2 linked regions of the Macaca fascicularis genome follow. Each later gene encodes a partner of the first gene's protein in a complex. Links are inferred from orthologs where the notes say so. Each region holds a gene or a part of one and is shown on either strand. Other genes may lie near its edges. The genes, in order: VEGFC and KDR.

Region 1 (3,823 bases):
TCGCATTGGTATTATTTTGAACTCCTTTGTAAAGGAACATACTCATGTTTGTACACAATCCTTTGAGGGAAAACATACAAAGGAAGATGCTTTTAGAAGCTTTTGTTTCATGCCACACCCAGAACCAAGTGAGGTATAGTAAAGATGCTCTGACTGTTTGTCTAGACTCAACAGATGGATTCCATGACATCTGTGGACCAAACAAGGAACTGGATGAAGAGACCTGTCAGTGTGTCTGCAGAGCGGGGCTTCGGCCTGCCAGCTGTGGACCCCACAAAGAACTAGACAGAAACTCATGCCAGTGTGTCTGTAAAAACAAACTCTTCCCCAGCCAATGTGGGGCCAACCGAGAATTTGATGACAACACGTGCCAGTGTGTATGTAAAAGAACCTGCCCCAGAAATCTCCCCCTAAATCCTGGAAAATGTGCCTGTGAATGTACAGAAAGTCCACAGAAATGCTTGTTAAAAGGAAAGAAGTTCCAACACCAAACATGCAGGTAAGAGATCCTCATGAAGAGTTTTAATTTCTCTTACTAGAAATATGTTCTAAACTAAAAACTGTTTTCTTAACCAAAGTAGCAATTGCTTGTTAGAATGAGGCCAATAAGTTCTGAAAGATAAAATCTTATTTTTTTTTAACCAATGCATGAGACTGAATTTGCTTCCAAAAAAAGCAAGATGGGAGCCTTGAGGATAAAACTAAATCCAAGTTCCGAATATACTCTAGATTAGTGGCTCCTGTGGGATGTTTTCAAAATACATCCAGGCAATCCACTCCACCCCCACCAAAAAGTATAATGCTTTCAGACATCACTTAGGACAACTGTTCTAAATGCAGACAATTTTTACGCAAAACTTACAAACAAAGGATAGGATAGTACCATTGACTATAGAATTATACCTGGAAATGAAAAGATTTAAGCTAAGTATTTGATAGAATTAGAGAAATAAATGAATATATTGTTAAAGGTACCCAAGCCTCATTTCTTAAACTTGGTTTTGCACTCTTCTCCACCAAGAAAAAAAAAAAAATGAAGTTACTGGACTCAAGCACATTCAGTGTTAATCCCTGAACCTCTTCCTCTTTAATCTCAGAGAATAAGGTGATCCTACTATTTAAGCCAGACCTGTGCATTTGACATTTTCTCCACATTCCTTCAACATTGCTTCATGCCATTCCTTCTTTCTTCTATAACTTCAACATCTTCAGCTCTACTTTTTTCCCCCTCAGTTTATAAAAGTTCCCAAATTTCTTCTATTTTATTAGCCTGTTACTGTGAAGCTGAGCATACTTTAGCAACCGAGCTCTGTCCTCTTCAAAGCTGCTCAAAAATGAGGCATTTGTTTTCACCTCTTTCATCTGCCATGTATTCAACCAACTATAACCTGGTTTATGGCCTACGGTGCTATGTTAAACCTCTGTTTAAAGTTTCATTGGCCTCACAGTTACCAAATCCAACAGATAATTTTGTCCTTAGGTAACCTGTCCTTTCCATGGCCTTTTTCTTCCAGCCCACCTCTTCTATGATGTGACATTGTACTTTCCTACTTGTATACTAAATTTTCAGAGCATTTGTTCTTAATCACTTTCACTCTTTTACATCCACTCTTTACATATGGGAAGATAATGTTCTTTTTAGCAAAAAAAGCTCGTATTCCATTTATTTACTACTATCTTCACTAATGTTCATTATTGTTTTTTCACAGTATATAACGAGTTCATCGTTTTATTCTCAAGAGTTTTGTGTCTTTATTGTAATGTATGTTTTTGATTATTTTCCTCAACTAATATTTCACCTACTGCATAAAATGGCTTTAGTGAATCTAGCTATCTCATTGATTATATTTTTCTTCCCTTATACTGCAAAGTACATCGTAAGTATTTCTTTTTTAGAAAGAACTATATTCCAATTTTACCTACATATTCCTACTGTAATAACCAAAAAGATATTTCAAAAATGTATATGCTAGTATTTTCAGAAGGATACAGACAATCTTTTTAAGCCTTATTAAACTATGTTTTATATTGAATTCTTGAGTGAGTTTAGTATACATTGAAAAATCTGAAATTCCTATGTCTGCATACAGACTAACCAGCTGTCATACTTTTCTACAGAATTCTTATATGAACACAGACAATATTTCTATCATTGCATTTCTCCTAATAGTATACATTCTTTCAAAAAGGCTTTCTGTTTACTGCAACTCATCCTATGTTCATTTTTCTAAGTGTGTAATTCCAGACTTTGTGATATAAATTGGAGCAAAAGAGAAAATATCATATTTTGAAAATTTATATTCTCCTCATTCTCTCTTAATATTTATTACAAAGTGCAGTGGGCAGAGTATATATTCTTTGGTTCATGGCCTTAATTAACAGCTTTTATGGATCATTAAGTATCATATCCCTTTTTAGTAGAGGAATACCAGTAGTCACAACTATGAATTCGCATTTGCAAAGTTTAAAAAAATTAACTAGACATGCTTTCTTTTCTAGAGCCAAATAAATGAAATATGAAAACCAAATTGTGTAGGGATTTTTGTAGCACACTTTCGATTTCCACCTCAGGTCATCTTGCACGTTTCCCTTTACACCTATTCCCGCACATTAGGCATGCTCATACTCCAAAAAGTTTTTCAAAAATAGCTCCAATTCTCACCAGGCGTGTTGACTCACACCTGTAATCCTAGCACTTTGGGAGGCCAAGGCGGGCAGATCACTTGAGGCCAGGAGTTCAAGACCAGCCCAGCCAACATGGCAAAACCTTGGCTCTACAAAAAATACAGAAAGTTAGCCAGGCATGGCCGCACATGCCTGTAATCCCAGCTACTCAAGAGGCTGAGACACAAGAATGACTTGAGCCCAGGAGGCGGAGGTTGCAGTAAGCCGAGATCGCACCACTGCATTCCAGCCTGGGCAACAGAACGAGACTCTATTTCAAAAACTGAGGTCTCAATTCACTGGAGCAACGGGGCAGGGGACAGATTGACCAGTTGGTGATTTGTCTTCTCTCTGCTACTAGAACCCGGCAGTCTAGGATGGGAGGAAGGGGACCCTACTGCTGAGTATTGTCCCTCTTACCTCCCTGCCCCAGAATGCCTCTGTTTCACCTGGAGCCCAGGTGGAAAGGAAGAGTTAGCCACCATCATGCAGCCAGCTGCCAAGTAGAGACACAAGAGTGAGGGTGGGGCTGCTCACTGAGGACCACAGTTCTGCCAACATGGCTGGTTTAATTGCCTGGAAGTCTGGGTCCCATACAAGTCCCAGACTCATGTGAATTCAGCCATGCTTATGTGATCACAGTAAGTCAGCAGACCTTCAATGTTCACTTTCAAAATTTCTGTTTTATGTTTCTTTCATCCATGAAGCAAAGAGCACTTCAAAGGAACTAATGCTTACAATACCTCCTCCTTCCTTCCATTTGTTATATCACCAAGCAAGACTTTTATTTTAAGGCCTTTCCATTCCTCTGAAATGTTGTCATTCTAAGCAGAAACAAACTTTTATAAATCTATGAACAATTGCATCATAAAATTAGTAATTTTGTTCTAGTCTGAAATATAAAAACACTGAAATACCTTGGTAGCATAATGAATCCACTGCCTTGATCTTTAACATAAGTGTGTTCTTTTTTGTTCTCCTAGCTGTTACAGACGGCCATGTACGAACCGCCAGAAGCCTTGTGAGCCAGGATTTTCATATAGTGAAGAAGTGTGTCGTTGTGTCCCTTCATATTGGAAAAGACCACATATGAGCTAAGACTGCACTGTTTTCCAGTTCATCGATTTTCTATTATGGAAAACTGTTGCCACAGGAGAAC
Region 2 (3,823 bases), about 100 Mb from region 1:
GTGATGTACTACAACTTGACAAACAAACTAGACAATTCAGGTTCCAAAATATCTTATTTGGCTAAAACATATTACTTGAAAATGTAAATGAATTCCTCAGATATTTACCACATCTCCACTGTGAACTCTACGCAATGTTTAATATTTTAAAAATCCAAAGCAAAATCTCTAATCCTAACAGAATTTTAAAAATTAGGTCTTCATTAACACTAACACTCAATGATATGACAGCTACATTTATGCCAATGAATTAGCCCTGACTATAATATTCCATTCAGCACAATCAGCTAAAGCTTATCCATCAAACTAAGATGCACAGGCAGAATCAGCAGCATTGGGAGGGCACTGCTCCGATGTCATTCTGATTGCCTCCAGAAAGCCCACCCTTATCAACTGCTCCACAGCAAGCCCACCAATATGTACTGAAGCTCAATAAGCCATGCACTGTGCTAGACTCTGAAGACTGAGATGTAAATAATGACACAGAGCTTGTGGTTTAAAGCATCTGTGAAACCATTCTCTCTGCGGTGAAGTTAGAAGCACTGACTTAAGCCCAGGAGATACCTGAGGAGTTTTAATTTATGAATGAAAGCATCAATGATCAATCCAAATCCTCTTTCCTCAATGCCATGCCACTCACATGAATGGCAAAAACAACAGGAATTACACAGCTTAGTACCCACTGTGTGAGTGATCCAACCCAACCCTCCAGAGAAGAGTACTTACTGGTAACATGGAAGGAGATCACCCTCTCTCCTCTCCCGACTTTGTTGACCGCTTCACATTTGTACAAAGCTGACACATTTGCCGCTTGGATAACAAGGGTACTTACAGTCTGTAGGGGGAAAAACAAATCTCAGGCCATAAACAGTGCAGCTTGTTTGTGCACAAGTACTCAGTCCAGCAGTCTCCACAATCACTCCAACCTGCCTATGCCATTCCCACTTCCGCAGTGATTGGACACTTTTGAATTTATGCAATTACAGGTTGAGTATCCCTTATTCAAAATGCTTGGGACCAAAAGTGTTTTGGATTTTGGATTTTTCTTGATTTTGGAATATTTGCATTGTATACTTAACAGTTGAGCATCTCTAATCTGAAAATCCAAAATCCAAAATCCAAACAAGCATTTCCTTTGAGCATCAGGTCGGCACTCAAAAGGTTCAGAATTTGAAGCATTTTGGATTTGGGGTTTTCAGGTTTGGGATACTTACTCAATTTGTATAATTATGCTGCTGTGCAGCTTACACATTATATAAAAAGGGCTTTGGAAACCATGAAACTATTGATGTGTTTTAATATATGATACACATTTTTTCATTCTCATGCTTATAAAATTAGAATCACCCTACACAGATGCATAGATTTAATGTCATAGACTTTTTATTTTTCTCTAATAAGCTATTAATAAGTTAATGGTATGGCTAAAAGTCTATGGTATTTTCAAAGTGACTTAATATGCTATTATTTTATCACCTAGACTATTTGATTATTAATCTCCAATATACTTCACATATTATTGTAGCATCCTTCCGTTAAAGAGAGATTTTCAAATTTTAAAACTTCAAACTCACTTTGTTTTTTCCTTCAATTAGAGCAAATTGATTTTTATTGACTTCAATTTTATTTCCTCCCTGGAAGTCCTCCACACTTCTCCATTCTTCACAAGGGTATGGGTTTGTCACTGAGACAGCTTGGCTATAAGAAAGAGATAACAGAGCATATTATGATTTAATTTTTCTTTAATTCTAGTCAAGAGTAAGGAAAAGATTCAGACTTTGGTTATTCTGTTCTTAGAAATAACTTCCAATGCAGCCTACCACGGTACAAGACTTGGCGCCAATTAAAAATAGGCATTGACTACGAAGGAAAAGGCTCTAGGTAGATTCATTCAGGATACGGGAGGGAAGCAGCTATTCTGGGAACAAACCTTCATTCATAAATTGGATCGACAAGACAATTCAAGTTAATTTAGTTCAAAGGAAGGCAAGGAAACTTAGAAACCACTGGGCTCCTTAAAGTAATTTCTCTGGGACCATAGTCTCTGTGAAGGAAATGATCAGCAGCTGAGGAAGAAGCTCGTAGTGGCCATTTCAAAAACAACAACAGGAAGTGGACTGCTTAGGGTGGTAGTGGGTTGGCTGCTGCTGTTGTGTTTTTCCCTAAGGATGTCTGGACATGTGTCAGAGCATGATAAGCTGGGCCTGAGACCCTGAGGACTGGGGCTGGGTCTATCACTGCCTCTCATCTATCAGCATTTCCTCTGAGAGATGGATCTTCACACAGACAAGAAGGAGCGATGTGATATTCACCAGTTGATTGGTATTGGGAAAAAAACCAAAGACTGGCAATTAGCAAACTGAGCAAATAGCCTGTGTTTGGAGAAGTGTACCTCAGGGATAACCTAACAAGGCTGAGCTTAGCTTATCCCAAAGTAGGATACTCCAAGCAAAGACATCCCTTAAAATGTAAGACATAGAGAAAGATGGATGGAGATTCAGGCTACCTCTTGAGAGAAAACTTTCTTCGGTTTAGGCTTCTCCATTTAGGATGGAGTCATATCATAGTTCAGCTGTAAGAAATGCAAGACGGCAGGAAAGCAAAGAGCGTGTGGCCTTACTCACCTGGGCTCGTTGGGGCACTCTTCCTCCAACTGCCAATACCAGTGGATGTGATGCGGGGGAGGAATAGCGTAGACCGTACACGTCAGCGTTTGAGTGGTGCCGTACTGGTAGGAATCCACAGGAGAGATCAGAGATTTCTCACCAATCTGGGGTGGGACTGAAGATAGGAAAAACGACCTTTGAATTGTCAATCAGCTTTGAAGAATGGGAAATAGAGGATTTCAGCAACTAAAGCTGACTTTCTTTAAGCATATGATTTTGCTTCCACTTCCTTTTTTGAAGAACACTTAGATGTGGAAACAAGAGACCTGAGTTCTAGTGATACTCATAAAAATAACAACTAGCCAGGCATGGGGGCTCATGCCTGTAATCTCAGTATTTTGGGAGGGCAAGGTAGGTGGATCACTTAATCCCAGGAGATCAAGACCAGCCTGGGCCACATGGTGAGACCCCACCTCTACCAAAAAAAAAAAAAGAAATTGAATAAAATAACAAAATAAAATAAAAATGGCAATAAGCTAATAAACTAACAAGCTGAATGACTTTATGCAAGTGTTGGAATCCTGTGCCTCTCATCTGCATTACAGAGATAGTTCTCTCTGCCCTCTCAAGTTCACGAGATCAGGGGAAGGCTACAGAAAATAGCTGAAATAGCACAGTAAATATATTTATTATGTGCCAAGCATTGTTTGAAGTGCTTTGCATGAATTCATTCACTTAATCCTCACAACCACTATTACTATCCTCAGCTTTATACACGAGAAAAAATGAAATACAGAAAAAAATGACTTGCCCAAGGTCACTCCGTTAACAAACGGCAAAACCTGGAACAAACCTAGACACTCTGACTTCTGAACCCAAACACGTAAACCACCTCATGTTAAAGGAAGGCATAAATCTTTAGAGAATGCATTACTGCCACCACCATCTGAGTCTTTCATTCCCTCTCCCTCTTCCTCCCTCCCTCCCTCTCCACTCCCTTTCCCTCTTCCCCTTTCTTCCTTCTCCCTTCTCTCACTTCCTTCTTTCTTCTCTCCCTTTTTCCTTTCTTTCTTTTTTGACTCCAAAGTCAAAACTATTTCGTTACTACTGTCAACTTAAAGCCTCAGGTTATGCTTTCAAGACTTGACTTCTTTTTTATGTTTATTTCACATAGCAGAGTATATGCTAAAGTGAATAGAAGATTTAGTGGCTTCATG

The links.
Region 2: the proteins of VEGFC (region 1) and KDR are in contact, whole or in part, in a crystal structure (PDB 2X1W), measured with the Homo sapiens proteins. The link is inferred for Macaca fascicularis from reciprocal best matches to the Homo sapiens genes VEGFC and KDR. Residues at the interface, in NP_005420.1 of Homo sapiens: Thr148, Asn149, Phe151, Lys153, Phe186, Ile188, Val190, Pro191, Leu192, Gln194, Pro196; in NP_002244.1 of Homo sapiens: Val135, Tyr137, Ile215, Val216, Val217, Val218, Asn253, Val254, Gly255, Ile256, Asp257, Phe258, Asn274, Arg275, Asp276, Phe288, Leu289, Ser310, Ser311, Gly312.

Annotation. Positions count from the first base shown.
Region 1 is NC_088379.1:181,467,042-181,470,864, reverse strand, and holds part of VEGFC (vascular endothelial growth factor C), read left to right. Parts: intron 1-165; coding exon 166-499; intron 500-3,647; coding exon 3,648-3,762; 3' UTR 3,763-3,823. UniProt on the Homo sapiens protein: Growth factor active in angiogenesis, and endothelial cell growth, stimulating their proliferation and migration and also has effects on the permeability of blood vessels.
Region 2 is NC_088379.1:78,789,810-78,793,632, reverse strand, and holds part of KDR (vascular endothelial growth factor receptor 2), read right to left. Parts: intron 2,782-3,823; coding exon 2,625-2,781; intron 1,699-2,624; coding exon 1,575-1,698; intron 836-1,574; coding exon 727-835; intron 1-726. UniProt on the Homo sapiens protein: Tyrosine-protein kinase that acts as a cell-surface receptor for VEGFA, VEGFC and VEGFD. Plays an essential role in the regulation of angiogenesis, vascular development, vascular permeability, and embryonic hematopoiesis.